4 linked regions of the Caenorhabditis elegans genome follow. The protein of the gene in region 1 purifies or fractionates together with the protein of each later gene. This does not show direct contact. Each region holds a gene or a part of one and is shown in the gene's direction. Other genes may lie near its edges. The genes, in order: dhs-12, E04F6.9, msra-1 and alh-8.

Region 1 (5,433 bases):
CGACTCCATTTGGCCAGCTTCCCATTTTACAAGTCGATGGAGAACAATTCGGTCAGTCAATGTCTATCACAAGATACTTGGCAAGAAAATTTGGTAAGGTTTTGTTGTTTTTCTTTTTAAAATGTTTAAACATCTAGGACTCGCTGGAAAAACTGCAGAGGAAGAAGCTTACGCTGATTCAATTGTAGATCAATACAGAGATTTCATATTCTTTTTCCGTCAATTCACTTCTTCCGTTTTCTATGGAAGTGACGCTGATCATATTGTAAGCATTCTTAAAATAGCATCTTAATTTGGGTATCCTATTCTAGAACAAAGTACGTTTTGAAGTTGTTGAACCAGCCCGTGATGATTTCTTGGCAATAATCAATAAGTTCCTGGCCAAGAGTAAATCAGGATTCCTCGTTGGAGACTCATTGACTTGGGCTGATATTGTGATTGCTGACAATTTGACAAGTCTCCTGAAGAATGGATTCTTAGATTTCAACAAAGAAAAGAAGTTGGAAGAGTTCTATAACAAGATTCATTCAATTCCAGAAATTAAGAATTACGTGGCAACAAGAAAGGATAGTATTGTTTAAAATCGAATTATTTAAGTCTGAATTATGTATGTAGTAAAATAATATCGTTCCTATCACGTCTCCCAGAGAGCGTAATAAATTATTATTATGTGTTTATCCTGAAGCACCGAACTATCTAATTATCAAATATCTTTGAAAATATTAAAATGTTATTCTTAAAGATCCAGTTTGGGAAAAACTATGGCAGTGACAGAAAGTGGCAGGATTTGAGTAATTGGCATTTTATTTTTATTATTATACAAAACTTGTTCGCTTGAGTCTTAATAAATATTCAATCTGCAGATTAAAACAGAAAAACAGAACATATACTTGGAAAAAGTTTATTGTTTAGAAACCCAGTTCACACATCCTATGGATTGTACTCGATTGGAAGGTTCTTGCGACGAACCATACCGTCTCCTTGGAACCATTCACGACGGAATTGTTTGGCAGCGCCATCCGGGGTGTTGGTCCACTCAACAGTGATACGGTCGTTGTTGGTATCCTCTTGTCCGAAGGCAAAAGCATCGCAGGAAACAGCAAGAAGCACAGCTTCCTTTGGGTCGAAAACTCCACATGGTGGATCAACTCCAAGTCTCTTCATATTGGTGGTCTTGATACCATATCCAATACGACGAGCCGATGAGTTGATCACCTTGATGTGGTCGGTGTGCTTGTCATCGTATGGAGCATTGAAGACAATCTTGGTACCCGGTTGGGTTTGGATGTCTCCTGGTGGGACGGATTGGGCCATGGCGACTTGTTGAAGGAGTTATGAGAACTCGCACTGAAGATTATGACAAAATCTGCCCAATTTATAGCAAGCTTCTCATCACTGCCCCAGATCTTTGTTCTAGATTTGTCATGTAGAGTTCACAGAAAAATGGAAAATAGTTATTTAGAATAATGATGAATTTGATTTATTCTAGAAACTCGTTACATTTCACACCGGAATAATTAATTAGTGGTTTAACAAAACACATTTCAGCTGGATTCTTAATTCACTAAAAAGCTGTGCTTCTTGCTGTTTTCTGCGATGCTTTTGCCTTCGGACAAGAGGATACCAACAAAGACCGTATCACTCTTGAGTGGACCAACACCCCGGATGGTGCTGCCAAGCAATTCCGTCGTGAATGGTTCCAGGGGTATGGTTCGTCGTAAGAACCTCCCAATCGAGTACAACCCATAGAGTCCTTGTGAAATAAAATAGTTTTTTATGCATGCTTGTTCTTTCTTTGAAACTAAATGTAGCCTCACTTGAGTTTTACTCACTGTTTAATTCAGACTTTAATAATTCCATTTTAAACAATATTATCCTTTCTTGTTGCCACATAATTCTTAATTTCTGGAATTGAATGAATCTTGTTATAGAACTCTTCCAACTTCTTTTCTTTGTTGAAATCTAAGAATCCATTCTTCAGGAGACTTGTCAAATTGTCAGCAAGACAGTGCAAGACCGAAGCATGATTTGGAGGAGATGTAGTTCCATATTATTCAATGAGTCTAGCATTATTGATGAGCAACCACGATCTCCGACTATTTCAGAAACTGATTTAACAGAATTCTCGAACTTAGTACAACTCCTTGTTTTCGTGTCATTTCAACCATTCAATCAAACCGCTGAACACTTTTTTCTACGGTCATTGGACATTTATCCGCCAGTCACAATCTAATTGAACGGTCAAAAACCACAGAACATAGAAAAATGATGACAACCCTTGAAGTTAGAGTTGGTTGTTAGAGAAACATGAGAAAACATTTGAAAATGTGTTGTAAACAATGAGTTTTTCATTTTATTGAGTGGTAACCTCACACACCATGATCTAGTTTTCAAATATAACCGCTGTGATTTTTCAATTGCAATTGAAATATTTGATTTCGTTCCTTTTATACGTTCCTTTATTTATATCCTCACCAAAAAATTGGTATTCCCAAAAAAAACTTATTTACTGTACATATTTGAGTTTTCTCTATAAAAATTAGACTACGCGTAGTTCATTAAATCGTTAATACGTTCATTAAATCGTTAAAACATTAAAACGTTCATTAAGTCGTTAATAAATCTCAGAATAATTATTCTAGACTTGTTTCCTTGGTTGCAAAAGACGTTGCAAATGCGCTTCACTGAAGTCTCCCAGTTTTTATTTTTTCTAGAAAATTGAGCTAGCTAGCTCAATTTTTCTCAATTTCAGATTAATCTTCTTCAGAAATGAGTTTATTACTTCTTTTTTTTCCTTCACCTGTTCATACTCATTCTTTCAGAAATGGCACCAAAAACTATCTTCATTACCGGAGCAAACAGAGGAATTGGATTGGGGCTTGTAAGAGAGCTCTTGAAAGTTCCAGGCGTCGAAGCTCTTGTTGCTGGAGCAAGAAATATCGATGGAGCTAAAGTAAGTTGTAACTTTTTTTTGGATATTTAAACATATTTTCTATTCCAGGAGCTTCAATCTCTCGCAAAAGCTGATGCTCGTCTTCACTTGATCGCAGTTGACGTTTCCAACGATGGAAGTCTCGAGAATTCTGTTAAATCAGTTTCTGGAATAGTCGGAGATCGTGGTCTGAACTTGCTCATTAATAATGCTGGACTCATTGAATCATATGGAACTACATCTGCTCCAAATCGTGCTTCGGTCTTGCACTGTATCGATGTGAATGCTGTCAGCGCACTGCTAGCTTCGCAGGTAAATATTATTATTTAAATAATAATAAATTCTCATTTTGCAGCATTTCCTTCCTCTTCTCCAAAAAGCAGCTAGCCACGTCTCTGGAGATTCCCTCACACCTGACCGTGCCGCAATCGTGAACATTGGCTCTGACTGTGCATCACAAGCACTCAATCTGCGTGGATCCGGTCCGTCGAACTCACTTCTTGCCTACAAAATGAGCAAAGTTGCTATGTTAAGCTTCTCTCGCTCGATGGCTGCAGACTTCAAGCGTCTCGAAATTCCAGTTCTGATCACCAATATTCACCCAGGATGGGTGCAGACAGACATGGGAGGATCGAATGCTGAAATTTCGGTAGGAATGTCGTGACTGGTATAATTTTCACTGTGTAATGCTTTCAGGTTGACGAGTCTGTTACAAAAATTGTTGCGAGCATTGCAAAGCTGAATGGTGGTCACCAAGGAGGTCTCTTCAATCGTGAACTAGAAGAGATGCCATTATAAACGTTCTTTGTCTGTTTTTCAGTTTGGAACATAAGTGATATGTGAATAAAAAAAGTTAAAAATCATTTTATGATCGCAAGGTTATTTATTAAACGAAACCAATGCGGTTAAATGTCAGTATTTAGAATGTTTTCGAATCAAGTGAACTGAGGATTGCGAATCTGACGAATTGCAGGTGTGTCACAACTGTCAACCAGGCATCCTGAAGGGCTCAACTCTCCTCGCATTGACATGTTTTGAAGCCGCTTCTGAAGTTCTCGATGACTACTGAGTGTGCGCATCGCCTCATCAGCTTCAGTTACAGGGCCACGTAGAGGGCTCAGAAGTGGAGGAGGATGGTTCATACTGAAATGTGAATTGCATCCCGAAACATGTGCCAATGGTTCAGGAAGACATTCAAAATTCGGCGGAGAATCTGTCAGTGGAATCGAATGGGGTAGTCCAAGTAGTTCCGGCAACTCATCGGAAACTTCTTTGAGGCCAGTTGGTCGTGCATAACAGAAAACAGACGATGAAAGTTTAATCATCTGAAAACAGGAATTTGAATCTCTGAAAAGATCCGTCGAAAACTAACCGTTTCGCGCGAGTATTCTATTTTTAAGAAAAGATGTTGATCTTCTTGGTTTCGGTAGCATACCAATTCTCCACCTTCTGGAACTTGAATTCGTTCACCTTCCTGCAAACTTTCATTCTTTAAAAATATATTGTGCAACAAATTTCACCTTCTTTGCGAGAACTGGTGGCAGGCTCATCCGGCGGCAAATCGGTGGTTTCATCATTTTTCAGAAGTTGTAGATTGTGGAGAAAGAAGCAGCAGATCAATTGTTGAGTAGTGTAAAAATGAATTTATTCGAATTCGTAGACTTTCGTGTTTTATGACATTTGTTCATTTTGCAAAGACACTAACGTGAAAACAAAAGTTCACGTTTTTATCTTGAATACATTAAAATTTATTTATTATTATCAAACAGATCTGGAATTAAAGTGAAACTAGTTTCGTTACATTTCCCGTAAAACGTTATCGCATATCAAGATTTCTTCAATCACAAATATCCCCAAAAAACAGTAATCTTGGCAATTTCGTAGACCAGTTTACAAATTGGCAACACAATCGGTACTGCAAGAGGAATCAGTACGGCAGTTCTCTGATCCATTGGGAAATACAGCATTGCAAGTAAGGAGTGATCCGAATTAGCGGAATCTGCTAAACGACGTGCTTCAAGTAGACGTTCGAAATCAAGCATGCGACCAGGACGCACAACATCGTTAAGGATTTCTACAGCTCGAGTTGCACGATCAGCCACGTCATCGTTAATAACAATATTCGATATTTTCTGTGCAAGCTGATCAAGAGCTCGAACAGCACTGGCAGCTCGCATCGCATTATCAACAGAAGCACGTAGACGGGCTCGAGCAACTTCCCATTGACAGATTGCAACAGGTGGGCGATGCCATCCATGTGAAAGTTCAGCATCCATTCCCATTTGAATTCTGAAAAAAAAAAAATTTGCTTAAATACTTTTACAGTGTAGGGATTTGATTTGTTTGTTCAAAGGAACGTTCCAAATAAAAAAACAATTTTGGTACTTACCGAATAGCAGCAATCGCTCTAGATTCAGTTGCCTCATTTCTCGGAAGAACTGCTCCCCAGGAGGCAACGGCAACTCCATGGCTGTCTTCTCCGGTGTCATCAAGTACAATTA
Region 2 (5,148 bases), on another chromosome or scaffold:
CTCAGAACACAACATTCGTGTAATTCTAAAACACTGTGATATACTGTTTAACTAGGTTCGAGCGGGGAAACTGTGACCTACTGAACAAAACTTTCTAACTTCTTCCAACATTCATTTCAGGACCTTCCACATTTTTACATTTTCCTGCATCACCTGCCCCAACATATTCCTTTCGGGAAGATGATTGTCAGACCGATATTGAAATATCTGAAGATGACGATGATCCAACAATAACCCTATCCAATTGGCGTCATTCATCTCCAACTCTTTCAATTTGTACTCCAATTCTTACTACTCGTCGATCGACTTCTTATTCATCAATACCAACCATCGATCGTACGATTAGCGAAGACTCGATGCTGGTGATTAAACGTTTGTAGTTTTATTTCTTTAAGACAATTTATTTATTCAAAAACTCTTCATTCATTACGGGTAGATAAATTTTCTAGTTTTTCCATTCTATCAACATAGACCCAATGCTTCTTTCCTTTTCTTTTTACCGTACGATTTCCAAAACATTCTGCCAATTTGTCATTTGCTATATATTTCCTCCATAAATGTTTCCCTTTTTTCCTTCATCCCAATCCTTTTTTTTCTGGTAATAATAAATTCCTTTTCTGGGCAAAAAGCAACAAAATGTGAGCCAAAAAAGGCGACTGATGATAGATGGTGATGATTTGAATGTGACTGGAAGGAGGAGAAGAAGACGTCGAAAAAAGCGGCAAGCTAAGAAGAGTGATGGTGTACATGGGACGATGTGGAACAACTAATCCAGGAATGAAATGATAGTCAACCACTGACATGTTATTCACTTGAAAAAATAGTCCCTTAAAGGGAAATGATATGGTGAAGTTTAATAAAATTCCCCAGAATACTCCACTTTCAAAAAGTTTCAGGAAGTCTTATTGGATAATTCAAAATTCCTTCATGGCAAAGTTTTTATATATATTTGTAATGGATTGTGCAAACATGAATATTAACAGTTTTATTTATTTTGTTATCATTTTGTCATAGCCTAGGTCAATCTCGGTAGACGATAGGTTTTCAAAATAATCAAACAAATGCATCTGATTGTTTAACTTTTTGTACGTTTTTCATATACTCTGATGATTCAGATCAATTTGATCTTTTTAGAAGAATGTTCAAAATTTCCACACTTCGAAATCCTGTTTTCACAATTCATTTCATCCATTTTTATGAGTTGGAACGATAAGAAAAGAATCTTAACGATGAAAGTGTCAACTGTTGTTACTGACTCATTCACTTGTTGTGACGGAAACTGATCCGAAGGTCGGAAAATTTTCAAGAATAACACAAAGTTTGTAGAGTATAAAAAGAGCTGAAGAATCTGTAAGGCCTCAGCCTTTGAAACGTTATTCATTTAACTCACAGAACGTATATTTTATATCTGATGTTTAAATTTTTTATTATGCGTTGTAATATTCTGATAATAAGACCGTTTTTTTTTCTAGTCCTAAAAATTATTAGTCGCCTTCAAGTTCGCCTTCAAATTGATTGTTTTAAAACCTGTTTCAATCTTGAGCACACAATCTCGTCTTTTGTGAATTAGAAATAATAATTCATCAAAAATATAGAAGGTGTTTTTGATCAGTTAAAAAAATTCAAAAAAGAAAATTTCCGCTCTATTGATTTCTTACTTTCCATCACAACATAATTCAATTAAGATAGGGACTATAAAAGTTTGCTTGGCCACAAAATGGCATAAATCGGTTTCAGATAAGACACATTCGATTCACCTCTTTTCTTATTTACTAAACTCTTATTAGCGGTAAAGCTAACTACACATACACGTAATTTTTTTGAGGCATAATTATGTATTATCAGTAATTTTTGGAACTCTAAAGTACTCTAATTTATCAATTAAATTATCTTTCCAACTAAAAAACGACATATTAAAAATCGACTAAACATCCTGTAAACTTCACATCTATCAGTAAAAAAAGCTACGCGCCTCAAAACACGACCTTCTCAATCCCATCATTGTGAACTTTCATAGTGTTCTCACATTGATCTTAAGAACAAATAAACTTCCTGATTGTTCCATTTTCAATACTTCTCCAAATGACATTCTTTGAACAGTCTAAGGAAACGAATCCTCATTTTCTAGTTCCGTGTTCCAACTCTGTAGGATTTTTTGTATAACTCTGATAACAAGAAGGATATTTTCTCTCACTCTAGCCAACAAACAAATGATAAAAACAAAGTGATTGATTGCAAAGTGGGCTGGGCGTTTAGTTTAACCAGCGGAGGTGCTTACCCTATTTTTTTCATTCGAAGGCAGTATCTTCTGGCTGACGACACTATTTATTGTTGTTCCAAGAGAAAGGTTTCATCACTTTAAGATTTTGTGCTTTTTCTTTCAATTGTTCTTCTGAATTTCGTGTCAATTCACAAAACTTTTTTCATTCTTGAAAATTAAATAAAATTTCAGAAAATGAACCGCTTCATTCTTTCCGCTTTCCTCCTTGTTGCCATCTTTGCCATATCCGATGCTGCCGTTGCTCAACAGCAGGTTAAGGTTTGTTGTAACTCCTATTTGAAAAATAACAAAAAATCATTTTCAGGACGGAGAAAAAGTTGAAATCGATGCTTTCAAGGGAGCCAAGGCAATCAAGAGAACCGTTGCCGGTGGAGATCAAATCTTCCACCTTGACGGAGATAACAAGGGATCATTTGTTGATGCTAAGGGAAAGAAGATTGAGTCAACCAATTATGAAGCTAATAACGGAATCCTTATCATTAAGAAGTTCACCAAGGCCGATGTTGGAACCTACTCCGAGCACCCAGCTGTAAGTTTTCAGTGGGAGAAATAATTAGAAATGTTTTATTTCAGAAAAACACCGAAACCAAGCACGCTGATGGATCCATCTCCGCTGTTCCAGGACTCACTCTTGATATCTCCCTGCAATAAACAAATTTCATTCGGAATGTGTTCTAATAATTTCTCTAAATAAAATTTTTAAAACAATTTCGTGCAAACTTTGCAAAAATAAACAAAAATGTGAGTCAGAACAGAAATAGGCGTGACCTCTATTCAGTCAACAGGTGACCAATAAATCAAGTCTCATTCGTCACTATTTAATGGGTTCTAGAGATGTTTTCTTTCTTCATTCTTTTTTCTCTCAAAATCATCTGAGAAAACTTTGTTTCAGGAGCTTTTTGAATTGTTTTCAATAAAAGCTTTCCTTAAATTTTTTTTATCATTTTCAGAATGAGCCGGTTTTTGATTTCTTCGTTTATACTGATTGCCTTTGTTCTTCAGTTTGGAGAAGGATCAATTGCAGTTCAAGAAGTTAAGGTTTGTAAAGTTTTTTATCTGACAATAGTTTAAAAACTGTTGTTCATGCTTCTACAGGAAATTTTAAATGTATTTCTCAAAACTACTCGAAACTTCAAAAGTTTTCTTATTTTGAAATACCAAGTAGTATTTTACAAATTCCATTTTAGGATGGCGAAAAAGTGCAAATTGAACTTTTCAAAGGAGCCAAGGCAATCCAGAGATCCGTTGACGCTGGCGAACAGATTTTCCATTTCGAAGGAGAAAACAAAGGAGTGTTTGTGGATGCTAATGGAAAAGCTATTGACTCGTCAAATTATGAAGAGAATAACGGACATTTGGTCATCAAAAAGTTCACAAAAGCTGATGTTGGATCATATTCTGAATATCCAACGGTATTGAATTCCTGAAATTCCCGAATTGAAAAAGTATTAATTTCAGAAAATTATCAAAACGAAAACGGATCATGGATTTTCTGGAGTTGCCGCGCCAGTTCTCAAACTTTCTCTTCAATAACTTTTAAAAACTGTTTCAATAAATTCTTTTAAATAACAATAAATTGTTTGCAATATTTCGTAAAAACCTGTTTGAAGGAATTATTTAACCATTATTTGGAAAAGAAATTTGAATGTAGTAACTGTTTCACGCCCACAAAAAGTTCTGTTAAAATATCTCCAGAGCAAATTCCGCACTGATCTGTTAAATATTTTCTGTAACACTATTTCTATTTTTACTATTTTTTTCGGCTATTTAAAATTAAACCGCAAGACAAATAGGGAAATTAGTGTGATTTTTAATTCCAATAAGGCGAATCTTATAGTAAGTTTTTTTCTTATTCGAAAGTACTACTTTACTGATAAGAAAATGAAAAATCATTCAACTTGCATCGATCATTTTCCTCGTTTCACCTGAAAATATGACATGAATATAGAGATAAATATGTCAATTTAGCTACAGTTTTACCAATATTCATTGAACTTCACATCATAATTTCTCAATATAAAACAGGAAATTCAGAAACTCATCAATTTTTTCATTTTCAGAATGGTTGCTGATGGTAAGAGGAAACGGCAGTTTCATTCAAGAACAAATGCACTAGAAGTAAGCGTTCTTTTAGTATTAAATGTTTCATCAATTTCCTAAATTTAAGTTTTAAAAATTCGATGATGTCCTACTCCCTAGTGTTTTTAATCTGTTTCAAATTCTTGCTATAATTGAATCCGTTTTCAGGTATTGGATGGTATTGACCTTTCTGGTAAAACATTTGCAATTACTGGAACAACATCTGGGATCGGAGTTGAGACTGCTAAAGCATTGATTTTAAAAGGAGCTCACGTTGTAATGATAAACAGGAATTATACAGCATCTGAAGCATCGAAGAAATCTCTCCTAATTGAAACTCCAAATGCTCAAATTGATATTGTTCAATGTGATTTGAATTCACTATCATCTGTGAAGAAGGCAGCAGATGAATACTTAGAACAGAAATGGTAAGCGATAAAGTTGATACATTTAAAAACTTAAAATGATCTAAAGAGTTCCGAAAAACCGAAGTTAGAAATGGAGAAATATTTTGGTGTCTCTATATTCAAATTTTCTCTGAGACAAGACGGGTTTTAATCAGAGATCTAAAATTTTAGTGAAATTTTGAAAACCCATGTTAAGTTATTTCCGTTTTAAACTAATATCCTCCAAACTCATCACTTAAATATTGTATTTTATTAATCCTGCCTCCCTTATCTTTGATCTATTCTTAGGCCACTCCATGGATTAATTTTGAATGCTGGAGTTTTTGGTCCAAGTGAAAAAACAACATCCGATGGATTTGAAGCTCATTTTGGAATCAATCA
Region 3 (5,572 bases), on another chromosome or scaffold:
TGTTATCGTATTACAAAACACAATGTTGCAGTTGCGAAATTGAGAACAAGAAAGTTCTAGCACATTCTAGAACTCCTTTGAATTTTCGAGAAGTTTCCAGAGCATTTTTACTTAGAAAATTTGAATTTTCCTCCAGTTTGTGATTATGTCTCAAAATGGACATGGCCAGTGGGATTCTTCTTGCCAAAGATCTACTATGTAGAAACATAAAACAGCGCTTCATATCTAGTAAAATGATGATACAAGATCATATATTTTTCAGAATGCCGATATGAGATTTCCAACGAACACTCGTTCGAAGTTCATAGTCAAGGTGAAATGGGTCCAGAAATAGAACGGAAGTCGCATTTAGCGTATCAAGTCGCTCGTTTCGAAGCAGTTGCTATGGGCTTCCCGGTGCAATATAGACAAGTTGTTGTCGAATTCTACTATCATGGCCGATTGGATGGATCATCGGGTACCCTGGCGACTGCGGTTGGGTTGTTGGCTCTCTTCACAGGAGTTAAGATATCACCCCGTTTTGCCATCACGGGTTCTCTTGATGTTTTCGGTTTCGTTTATGAAGTAAGTTCTTTATTTTTATGAAAACCCCCAACTTTTTTGAACACATTTTCTTTTGTATGTTTTAAAAACTAGTACTAGAGAAGGAAAGAAGAGAGAGAAAGATCCTATTTTCAGGTTGGTGGAATTCTTGATAAAGTCCAGGCGGCTATTGACGGATTGTATGAAGCAGTCATAGTGCCGGATTCGAACTACTCGATGATTCCAGATTCGATGAAAACGAAAATTCAAGTTCACCCGGTATGGCATGTACAAGAAGCTCTCAAAATTGTCACTGAAAACAAGAAATAACCCTAACTATAAATTTTTACTCGAATAAAAATTTTGAGATTTTTCAAAATTTCAACTTTTTCTCTTCACATTGGTCAACAGAAATGTCGGTCAGATTTTTTGAGCAATTTTTCTCAATGTTTATCTAATATTGTAAAACATAGTTAGTTTGGTATTTTCCATAATTTTCAGTATCTACTAATAAATTTCTGAAGTTAAACCTGCCATTGTGTAGAGAATTTTTCTAGCTTTCGAACAAGCCTAACTAGGCATTTGTAGCGTATCTTCAAACTGGCGTATCTTGAAAAATCCACGTCTATGAAGCAAATGTTCAACTAAAAAAATGTTTAAAAATATTTTTTCTTTTTTTTGCATTTAGTTTCATTGCAAGATACCAGTTATTTGTTGAGTTACACTGATTCAAATAAATTTTCCCAATACCCATCGAAATTTTTGAGAACTGTTCTGCTCTACCATTCATAATTCAACATCCATTGAATTTTAGATAACAAAACTTATGGGGTTATTCAAGTAGTGTCGGAAAATTAAAAAGTGTAGATTAATTACGTCACAACTGTATTCAAGTATATAAAAACATGTATTTAAATACATTAGTGACGTCACAAATGTATTTAAATACATTTTGCTACATTACTTGAATAACCCCATTAATAAATAATAATTGCAAGATATTTTTCCACATTTTATCAGTTTATATCTTGCAATTATTATTCATTAACATTTTACTTCTGAAACTCAATCGACAAAATTTTTAGTGGTTTTTGGTAAAATGACTCTGTGTAACAAATAATTGGTATTTTGCACTGAAAAGTAATGCAGAAAAAATAAAAAATATTTCTAATCATTTTGTTAGTTGAACATTTGTTTCCTGGATGTTTATTTTTCAAGATACGCCAGTTTGAAGATACGCAATTTCGTGAGTTCAAGAAGTTATTTGGTAAACCGAGCCTGGGCTTGCAACTTTTGCTGGCAAGTATTATTTTAATGAGAATTTAGAATGTTGTATTGCCTAACTATTGAATTGTAGAAAATTATAGTATACTTCTACAACGGTTCAATAAAACAATAGTGATGTACTGTGGGCACACTCAGAAAAACGCTTAGTAGTCTAATTAGATTTCGACCATATTGGATTAGATTTGTTTTCTAATGAAATATGGAGGAAATCTAATCTAGCATGGATTTCTAATCTAATATGGAGCAAATATAATGCAATATGGATTTTCTAAACAAATATGGTTGAAATCTCGTTGAATACGGTTGAAATCTAATTAGACGACTAAGCGTTTGTCTGAGCAGGTGTCACAGTGGATTTGTAGTCCAAATGACTGTCTGTAAAAACAACATTATTTTTGAGCTTCAAAACTAACTTGCAAGTAGGTCAAAACGTTCAGACTGAGCCAGTCTTACTCCACCCCCACTACCATCCTCACAAGTGAACGAATTCCGTCAAATAGGTATAACTTATTCATTTGTGCATTGAACATTTGCTGCAGCAATGCAAGTTCTTGATGATATAACTGCTGAACTAGCGAATCTAGATTATCTTCGTCAACGTTCCATCCGTGAAATACAAAATACATTGCGAAAACAAGAAGACATGGAATTAGATAAAGCTGCTGAAGTCATAGTAAATTATCAAGATCCAAGAGCACACTATATTTTAATAGTTCAGAAATAACTTAGGTTTCCATTTCACTTTTTTTCTGGAAATATCCTTTATTAACCAGACACGAGGTTTTAGGGTTTTTGAGCCAACCCCGGTCTTGACACGACAGATTTTTGTACAATACGAACAGGCGTGCGCCTTTAATGAGTACTGTAGGTTCAAACTTTCGGAAATTTCATTTATTTTTCATAGTTTTTTGATTAATTGTTTTTTAGCTAATCGAATAAACAAAAAAAAACGATTGTTGTAAGACGAGGAAAAGTTCAATGTTCTCACAAGTGAAAGAGCTCCGTCAACTAGGTATAACTTATTCATTTGTACATTGAACATTTTGCAATTTCTAACGAAAAATACAGGGCCTAAAATTAGAAACTATTTTGATCAAAAGAAAGTTCATGGAAAAGCTCAGTTATTGTCCATTGAACCCAACGTGTACTCAATATCATCAAAAGAAACATCTTTACCAAAAAGCGATCTATGTCATCATTTCTGACTGGCCATCTGCTTTTTCTTCGTCTACCACTGCTGGCAGAATGATGATAAAGCATGTCGTGTCTATATGCCTGCGTCTAACATTGTATGTTTTCTTTTCTACTTGTCTTCTTCATCGATTCCCTCTGCGTCTCTTTCCTCTTTCTGATGTAATCGCAAAATTTACAGGAATCACATTTTGATTCCGCCCCGATTTGTATATAAATTGACTGTGAAACATACGTTTTTACATTGTTTACTAATTTTTTAATTCCTTTATAAACTCAAAACCTTTTTCAATCCGATATAATTTCAGGTGAAACATGGCTTATTTGGAGCGTGCCTATTTTGGTCTTCAGTGCTTCTGGGGAGAATCTGCATGGGCGAAGCTGAAAGGAGTTGTGGTGACACGAGTTGGATATGCTGGAGGAAAACAACCAAATCCTACTTATAAGAATATCAAGGATCATACTGAAATCACAGAGATCACTTTTGATCCAAAAGTTATTGAATACTCAAAGCTCACCAACTTCTTTTGGAAGCATCACAACCCAGCTGAAAGGAGAAAGAAGGTAATTTTCGAATTGACTTTAAAGTTTCAAATATTGTTCTACTGGAAAACGTAACAAAAAGTAAGTTCTAATTGATTATAATTTTTTAGGTTAAAATACATTTAAACTTCAAATTAATTCGTTTCAATTTCAGCAATACCAATCTGCGATTCTCTACGTAAATGACGACCAAAAGAAAGTCGCTGAAGAAACTTTGAAAGTAGCAAAGGACAAGCATGGAGACATTGAAACATATATTGAGCCATTGGACAAGTTCTATCAAGCTGAAGATTACCATCAAAAATATTGGTTCCGTCAAAAGAAGATTCTTTTCGATGAACTGTCTCTTCTTGATACTCAAGTTGCTGAAGGAGAACTTGCCACAAAATTGAACGCATATTGTGCTGGCTTCCAGGACTTCCACGATCTTGAGCGTCTTGCAAAAGAGTACGGATTAAAGGATTCTTTTGTCAATAAGGTGAAGGACTATGCTCTGTCAGGAGGAGATCCAAGAAACTGTCATGCTTAAATTATATGAATGTACAATCGAACTTTTATCAGGTTTTCAATGAATTTTATTTTATCACAGATTCTTGTGTTTGTTTGTTTAACAAAGGAAGATATTTGAATATTATACTGCACTTTCAGATTGGTATTTAGATTCCAACTTTGTGCGAATATTGTTGCATATCATATTAAATGGATTTGAAGAGTTGTTGTCATCATAAAGCACATTGCTCAAAATTGCGTAGGCTGTAACTTGAACATATATGAAACGTTGAATAATTCTGAAAATCTCACCATTATTACCATACAAGGCTTTGAGCCCAATTTCACTGTTAGCTAAAGTACCAATACATACAGCAGCTTTGTACCGTATCCTTCTACAGTAATCCGCATGGATTGGATGGGTAAGGGATAAAAATTCAAGAAGCACTGGAATTGCATTTTGATCAACCATTTGATGATCTAAATGACGGGCGGCAAGGCGAGAAAAGGCTGTAACAATTTGTTCCTGGACGAAGACAGTGGCACAATTTTCTCGATTATAAGCAGATATCAGACGACGAATTGAATTATTTCTGAAAATATTTACATTTACATGTTGCAAAAAACTTTTCAAAATCCCAAAATAGAGAGCGATCCTATAAATTTTCAGATTTTTTTTTAAATTCGAGACTGTTTTCAGTTTTATCTGGTAGGCTGGTTTACCGTTTTGTAGTTTCTAGGTAACTTGTAGCAATTGCTACAAAAGTTAGAACAAGGAATTCGCCTTGAAATTTTGCATTCATTTTCTACAATTACGTGCTATAGCTCAATTTAATGTTGGTTCAAATTTAATTTTGTACTGAGCTTTTGCGAAAATAGTTAAATGCTTAAAATTCAACAAACCTGTACATAATATCAACTCCATTTGGGTTCTGAAGTGTCACATTGTTCAATGCAGCGGTTGCCAAAAGCAAAGAGTCACCTGATTTACATTGATCTATTAGATCTGAAATTAATTATTTAGTCTCCAATTTTTATATTTAAATTGGTTACCCAAAAGTCTGGATATAATTGGTTCCACATGATTTAACCGAATGAATGCAGACTGAGGATTGGTAAGTTGTGTCAGAATACCAGCTGCCTCGACGGAACAGATTGATGAGGAAATGGATAAAAGTCTATCAATAACCAAATCCAAGCCTCCTTGCTGAAATTAATCAATTTGTATTGATTGAATTTGTATTGAATTTGTATTGAAAAGTATTGATTATAAAATATATCTAATTACCGTGAGCAAAGCAAGTGCTCCTTTTGAAACTCCACATAACACTGCCAATGTTCGAAGTAAAAATCTAAGAGTGTTCTCCTGTGGTTGATCATTCTTCATAATTCGAATAACTGATGAGATGCATCCTTTTTGAATTGCTTCAATACAAAGTTCATCTCCAAATAAACAAATATGAATAAGATGCTCTAAACAAATAGGTGTCAGACGATCTTTTCCATTACTTTCACATAGATTCTTGGATATTATCTGAAA
Region 4 (6,893 bases), on another chromosome or scaffold:
GGCGTTCACCTGGTCCGAGATCCGGATGGCATCCATGCGCCGAGGGTGTTGACTGTCACAGAAGACAGTCTCACCTACAATATCAAGATCACGGATTTGCATGTATGCTTATTATAGTGGTTGAAGTGTTGAATTTCGTATTTTTTAGATGTCGAATGGCTTCGAGAAGAACTCCGGGAAGCGGGAGGAGAACATTGGGTCAAGAGAGTCGATCTACCGCGAAGACGGGGCTCGAGGAAAGGCGAAGAGAAATCTGGCCCGTTCAATGTTCGACACGACTCGACACATGCTTTACCTGGACTTTTCAGCTCCTCCATTCTACGATATCGAGCAAATTTACTTGCATGGCATTTTCAGCGGTAATCACTTGCTTAATAAGCCTGCCTTTTAATCATAATTTTTTATTTTCAGATCGATTCGACAAGCTGCACATCGCAAAGTACACTGGCCACGCTGTGAATGGACTGTTCGATTGGGTCGAGGATCCATACACCGATGCAGTTTACTACAAGGAGCGAATTAATGGCCACGTGGAGATGTTCCAAGCAAAAATCAAAGATGTCGTGCCGATTATCACCGGAAAAATGGCTGGACGACGAATCGAAAATTCCTTGTTGAGCGGCGAACTCCAAGGTGTCTCGAACGGAGTATTCTACGAGACGAGTGTGAGAGATGTCAACGAAACGCATCAGACCCTGTCCTCAACGCTGACAACACTCGATTCGGAATGGAGTATCACTTGTAACGCGGAGACGATTTACAGTGTTGTTCCGAAGACCAACAAGCTCCTCATCATCAGGTTTTGAAGAAATCATCGATCTTCGAATTTAATATTCATAATTTCAGGGCCAACGATTATTGCATGTTGAGAGATGGAAAGAATTACAACAAGGAGAGCTGTGAAAACGAGCAGGCAGACTACCTGGCTCGCAATAATCCGTCTGAGGTGAGCTGGTTGTGTTGAAGAAATTTATAAATTAAATATATTTCCAGACCGACAGCAATGTGAACGCGATGATGTGGCTGATCGTGTTCTGCGTCGTCTTAATCCTTCTCGTGATTCTCCAGTGCGTCTACATCTTTTGGCTCCGATCGTCCTTTGTCTCGGCTGACGAGGCCTCTCATCATCAGGATCAGGAGACTGAAGCCTCCATCTTCATCGCGAAACAGCGCAGCTTCCCAGCGAGTTTCCATGAGCCAGGACTTTTGGATGTCTCCGTCGACAAGTGGAATTAAATCATTTTTATTTGAATTTATAGCATTCTCGTTCTTTTTCAATCTTTTCTAGCCTTCTATCCTTCTAGACACTAGACACTGTCATATTCTCATCTCATAATTTTTAATTTTTTACTTTTTTTTTTGTCACATTTCCTAGCACTTTCTGTTTCTTTTTTTTATATAAAATTAAATATTCCGCATTTTTATTTGTTTTAATTAATGATCTTTATCTTAACGTTGTTTATTCACCAACACTATTTTATTTTTGTATTCGAGTTTTCGAGACGCATCGATCACGTTTCTCCAAGTGCACACGGGTCAAATGGTGGGCAGTTGCAGGTCTCTCCACGTGCTGTGGCCGTCTCTTAGTCTCTTGCACTATCACTTTTCCCACTCTCTGACTCTTTTTTATTTCTTTTTCTTCTTTTTTTGCTGAGAGAGAGAGAAAAGCAACTGTTCTTCTTCTTCTGTCCTATTTGCCACTCCTCCCGTCGTCTTATCAACAGCATTGAAACTTCAAAAACTCGCAGATAGAGCTTTTAACCTTTTAATTTTCAATGTTCGCGTGTATTTTGTGGCTTATTTTATTTATTTCTTAGTTCAAAATTCGAAACGTGATCAGTAATGTTTAGTTTTCATTCATTTCGCATTATCCGAATCGTCAGAACCACCACGCGACCGCCCATCTCTTGTGATTTTCAATTTTTCTTCTCGTGCGTTTTCAGTCATTATCTTCTAATTTTCAGCTCTAAAACTTGCGGTACCCCAGAATGTTGTCTCGTCTTGCTCGTGTTCAGGTAGGAGTTTCTTTTTATAATATTTTTTAACAAAAAATCGTGTACTTCACACATCACTTGCAGTCTGTGCGACAGTTGTCGTATGGGGTGACACATTGAAAAAGAAAACGAAAATCAAACAATCAAAACTTCAAAACTTCAAATAATATTCTAATTTCAGCCAAAATGCCAACAGCTCGCCCACTTCAGCACATCGAAGTCTGCTGCCGCCGCACCAGTGAGTTTCAGGCTTGATCTTAAGTTTCCAAATCCAAATTCCATAATTTTTCAGACTGTCAAGCTGTGGATCGATGGACAAGCTGTTGAATCGAAGACCACCGACTTCGTGGAGCTCACCAATCCAGCCACCAACGAGGTCATCGCTATGGTGCCAAACGCCACCCAAGCTGAGATGCAAGCCGCTGTTGACTCGGCCAAGAATGCCTTCAACACCTGGAAGAACACGTGAGTCTTGAATCCCGTGTGATCTTTTTTTTTTATTTCAATAATAGAAGTTTCCAGATCCCCACTGACCCGTCAACAATGCATGTTCAAACTTCAAGCCTTGATCAAGAGAGACATGAAGAAGCTCGCTGAGAGCATCACCATTGAGCAAGGAAAGACCCTTCCAGATGCCGAGGGAGACGTCAGCAGAGGTCTTCAGGTCGTCGAGCACGCTTGCTCCGTTCCATCCCTGATGATGGGAGAGACCCTTCCAAATGTCTCTCGCGACATGGACACCCACTCCTACAGAATCCCACTTGGAGTCACCGCCGGAATCTGTCCATTCAACTTCCCGGCTATGATCCCATTGTGGATGTTCCCAGTCGCCTTGGCCACCGGAAACACTATGGTCATCAAGCCATCCGAGCAGGATCCAGGAGCAGCTCAGCTTCTTGTCGAACTTGCCAAGGAGGCCGGAGTTCCAGATGGATGTGTCAATATTATTCACGGACAGCACTCTGCTGTTAACTTTATCTGCGATAACCCAGATATCAAGGCTATCTCATTTGTTGGAGGAGATGCTGCTGTAAGTTTTTTTGAATTTGTTTTTTATGAACATTAATCAATTTTCATGATTTTTTCAGGGAAAACACATCTACGAGCGTGGAGCCAAGAACGGAAAGCGCGTCCAATCCAACATGGGAGCCAAGAACCACGGAGTCATCATGGCTGATGCCAACAAAGAACAGACCCTCAATCAGCTCACCGCTGCCGCCTTCGGAGCCGCCGGACAACGCTGCATGGCTCTCACCACCGCTGTGCTCGTCGGAGAAGCTCGCGCCTGGCTCCCAGAACTCGTCGAGAAGGCCAAGAACTTGAAGGTCAACGCTGGATGGAAGCCGGATACCGACATCGGACCACTGATCTCCAAGCAATCCAAGGCCCGTGTCCTCCGTCTTATCGAGAGTGCCAAGAAGGAGGGAGCTCAGGTTCCACTTGATGGATCCAATATCACTGTTCCAGGATTTGAGAATGGAAACTTCGTGGGACCAACGATTCTCGCTGGAGTCAAGCCAAATATGACTTGCTACAGAGTAAGATTTTGTTTTTTTTTAAATTTGTTTAATTTAATATTTAATTTTTTGTAGGAAGAAATCTTCGGCCCAGTCCTTGTCGTCATGGAGGCCGAGAACTTGAACGAGGCCATCGAAATCATCAACAACAACCCATACGGAAACGGAACGGCCATCTTCACCAGCAACGGAGCCACCGCCAGAAAGTTCACCAACGAAGTCGATGTCGGACAAATCGGAATCAACGTGCCAATCCCAGTTCCACTCCCAATGTTCTCGTTCACCGGCTCGCGTGGTTCATTCCTCGGAGATCTCAACTTCTACGGAAAGGCCGGAATCCAGTTCTACACTCAATGGAAGACTGTCACTCAATACTGGAACGAGTCGCTCACCGAGCTGAAGCCACAAATGTCGTTCCCACAGCTCAAGTAAATTGAAATTCTGTGAATTCTGAATTCTCTCATCCATCCCCACACACAATCACTTCTTGGTTCTTTTATTCTTGTTCAATAACGTTTATTGCCATGGTTTTTTGCAACCTCTCATTTCTTGTTTGTTCATATATAATACACATTTTATCATAAAAGTGACGATTAGACCCGTAAATGGAATGGGGGAAAATAATCACAGTTCAGAGAGAATCGTATTCGAATGATTGAAATCATAATCAAAACGTGGATAGTAACTATTCGGATCGGCAATCTGTTTATCATTCCGTTTGGAACGAGCCGCCGTGGGTTCGTCGATTTCCAAATCCGATTCCTCATCCTCCTCACTATTTGAAGTTGGATCTAGCGTGACGGCGATTATGATTATACCTGGAAAATATAAAATATTATTGGGACGTAGAAAAAATGCCCAATCAACGTGAAAACGCCCTCCACGGCAAATTGAAAACGCTCCGCCTCCTAACCGTGGGTCTCATTAGGTATTCTACCAAAATTCAGCATTTTCAATTAGCTTCAAGTGGTAACTTTCAAGTTACCAGTTTTTCCTAACGAGACCCAACTATTTGAGGCGGAGCGGTTCCAATTGGCCGTGGAGCGCATTTTCTGCGTCTTCATAATAATCTAACCTGTGATAAGAAGAGCAACACTGATAAGTGATACGATAAGCACCAATGCTACCGAAACGGACATCGACTGTGGTGCATTGTTGTTGAATGGACTGGCGACCGTCGGCGACGGGATCGCGCTGTCCAGAATTCGGCGGGCTTCCTCGTCTGAAAAAATATTTTGAGGAATATTGTTGAATTTTGTAATTTTTTCACCAAAAAATACGGTACTGCTAGGGTCTCGACGCGACCGGAAGTTTTCTGCAGGAAAATTGTGTGCGCTTTTAAAGACTACTGTAGTTGTGAAATTCTCGCTGAATTTTTCAAAATCGTATTTTTCATAAAATATTGATATATTTCAGATTTTGTAAAAATTCATTTGCGAAGATTGCGAAATAACGGGAAATGGGTTACTGTAATTTTAAAGGTGCATACTTTTTGTTGGGTAGATTTGAAAATATTTTGATCGCGTCGAGACCTTTTTTTTATGAAAAAACGTAATAACTTATAATTTTCGATGTTTTTTTAACTCTAAATAAGTTTTATAAAATTTTGCGCCTTTAAACAACTGGTTACTATAACGAAATTTCGAAAAAAGCCTACCATTTGCATCAAAAGCGATCACAATTTTGGAATTCGCATGTGAGACGGCCAAATAAATGAAGGCGACAAAAATGAAACAGGTCAGTAGAATAATACGAACCACGCAACGCATTCAATCATGAGCAGGTGCTGAATGTTATGACGATCAATCTGGAAATTGAGATGGAATTTTAGGGAAACAAAATGAATTATATCTCCTTTCCCATTGTAGGTAATAAAAAAATGTAGAAAATGTAGAAAAAATTGTGTACTACATTTTTCCAGTTGACAGTTTTTGTCTACCTAGCCTGGCAATAAAGTTATGAGCGTTTGAAGACAAGAAGAATTTGTCATACGAGAGAGGGGAAAGGCCGTCGTCGATACATAATGAATATTGGCCCAATCAATTCGGAAGTCCCTACTTCGCATACAAAACATATGGACTCGTCGAAGCAGAACGGGACTGCTCAACTCGGAGCACACATGCACACAGAGCAGGAGAGAGTCCATTAATTTTGCGGCGGGCGCCTCGCCTTTTTCTCTTTTCTCCTTTTTCCCTAAAACATTCTCGACTAATGATGAATGGGAATGACAGGAGAGAATGCAAATCCGTTCGGGAAAATGGGATTTTTGGAAGAAAATTGGGTACGGGTACTGTAGCTTCTAATCCTAGGTTATTAGGGAAAAAACGGGGCTCTGTAATTTGTTTTTCAATTTTTAGAATAAGGAAAATAAGAAAATAATTAGGATCTGTATTAGGCTTTTGACATAGGCTAGGCTTACGATTACGTTTGGGCTTGGGCTTAGTCTTAGGCTTAGGGTCAGGCTTAGGCTTAGGCTTAGGCTTAGGCTTAGACTTAGGCTTAGACTTAGACTTAGGCTTGGGCTTAGGCTTAGCAATGAAGCCGACGATAAGGTAAATTTATATAAAAGCCAATGTTATAAAACTCGGCCACTGTCTTTTTGTGGCTGTTAAAAAATCTATGTGGCCGCGAAAAAAATTAGTGGCCGAGTTTTTCTTTCTTTCACAAAACTGATATCAAGTTCCTGTTTTCTCAAGTTGCTAAATTGCCATATTTTCGCGGACACGTAGCATTTTATTAGTGGGCGTGGCCAAACGAGACTCCAAATGCCGTTTTTGTTTTGGCCTGGTAATCGCAATCCCGTCGGGCCGCGGAAGTGAAAACTCGGCCACAATATTTGCTTTTTGTAATCAGTCAAAAAACTCGGTCATCGATTTTATTTGCGGCCCCGTAAGTGGTGAGTCCAAAGCGAAAAGTCGGGAAAGTGCAAGAAGCGAAATTAATTTAATAAAAAAAAGGGACAGAGTTCATCAAATTGAAAATTCGATAGACTGACAAAAATGACTTTTTTTGAGGAATAGGAAATAAAAGTTAATTAAAAAAGTTTAGAGCTTTTGCGAAATGGCCGAGTTTTCGCATGAACACGCACTTTTCAGCAGAAAAAAGTACAGACTAATGGAAAAATATTCAAATTGTTCGCACGCATGTGTAGGAGTATTTCCGATAATTGTGTCAAAAATCATATGCAACTTTAGGTTTCAAAAATTTCCAAAAATATATGAAAACTTCCGAAGAAAAATTTAAATTTCCAATGAGAACATTTCAAAAATTCTGCAAAAAAACCGGAAACCCCCGCTCGGAAGTTGTGATATCTGCAGTTCGCAACAAAAAATAGATAGCTCCACGCCCTTCCATTTCCGGCGGCGGGAAATTGAGTTTGAGT

Evidence for each region.
Region 2: the proteins of dhs-12 (region 1) and E04F6.9 fractionate together in Caenorhabditis elegans (co-fractionation; one large-scale study listed by BioGRID). This does not show direct contact.
Region 3: the proteins of dhs-12 (region 1) and msra-1 fractionate together in Caenorhabditis elegans (co-fractionation; one large-scale study listed by BioGRID). This does not show direct contact.
Region 4: the proteins of dhs-12 (region 1) and alh-8 fractionate together in Caenorhabditis elegans (co-fractionation; one large-scale study listed by BioGRID). This does not show direct contact.

The regions. Positions count from the first base shown.
Region 1 is NC_003282.8:10,142,427-10,147,859, forward strand, and holds dhs-12 (NAD(P)-binding protein), read left to right. Parts: upstream 1-2,822; 5' UTR 2,823-2,824; coding exon 2,825-2,953; intron 2,954-3,001; coding exon 3,002-3,244; intron 3,245-3,287; coding exon 3,288-3,581; intron 3,582-3,628; coding exon 3,629-3,730; 3' UTR 3,731-3,796; downstream 3,797-5,433. Other genes in the region: gst-4 (Glutathione S-transferase 4), read left to right, coding at 1-93, 138-265, 312-581; msp-38 (Major sperm protein 38), read right to left, coding at 931-1,314; T14G10.8 (SH2 domain-containing protein), read right to left, coding at 3,868-4,257, 4,305-4,406, 4,453-4,506; pigs-1 (GPI transamidase component PIG-S), read right to left, coding at 4,774-5,221, 5,322-5,433.
Region 2 is NC_003280.10:7,209,464-7,214,611, reverse strand, and holds E04F6.9 (Periplasmic protein), read left to right. Parts: upstream 1-2,452; 5' UTR 2,453-2,455; coding exon 2,456-2,539; intron 2,540-2,585; coding exon 2,586-2,810; intron 2,811-2,854; coding exon 2,855-2,932; 3' UTR 2,933-2,987; downstream 2,988-5,148. Other genes in the region: E04F6.8 (Cuticle protein), read left to right, coding at 3,233-3,319, 3,469-3,693, 3,740-3,814; E04F6.15 (DeHydrogenases, Short chain), read left to right, coding at 4,343-4,399, 4,529-4,788, 5,056-5,148.
Region 3 is NC_003280.10:7,361,777-7,367,348, reverse strand, and holds msra-1 (peptide-methionine (S)-S-oxide reductase), read left to right. Parts: upstream 1-3,308; 5' UTR 3,309-3,315; coding exon 3,316-3,564; intron 3,565-3,697; coding exon 3,698-4,072; 3' UTR 4,073-4,129; downstream 4,130-5,572. Other genes in the region: insc-1 (Protein inscuteable homologue C-terminal domain-containing protein), read right to left, coding at 4,175-4,296, 4,345-4,625, 4,936-5,038, 5,086-5,239, 5,321-5,566.
Region 4 is NC_003280.10:11,727,091-11,733,983, forward strand, and holds alh-8 (putative methylmalonate-semialdehyde/malonate-semialdehyde dehydrogenase [acylating], mitochondrial), read left to right. Parts: upstream 1-1,964; 5' UTR 1,965-1,988; coding exon 1,989-2,015; intron 2,016-2,175; coding exon 2,176-2,232; intron 2,233-2,286; coding exon 2,287-2,459; intron 2,460-2,506; coding exon of another isoform or gene 2,507-2,516; coding exon 2,517-3,024; intron 3,025-3,082; coding exon 3,083-3,532; intron 3,533-3,586; coding exon 3,587-3,943; 3' UTR 3,944-4,108; downstream 4,109-6,893. Other genes in the region: F13D12.5 (uncharacterized protein), read left to right, coding at 1-102, 149-359, 412-799, 847-946, 994-1,236; F13D12.8 (Col_cuticle_N domain-containing protein), read right to left, coding at 4,136-4,329, 4,587-4,733, 5,169-5,280. UniProt on the Caenorhabditis elegans protein: Probable malonate and methylmalonate semialdehyde dehydrogenase involved in the catabolism of valine, thymine, and compounds catabolized by way of beta-alanine, including uracil and cytidine.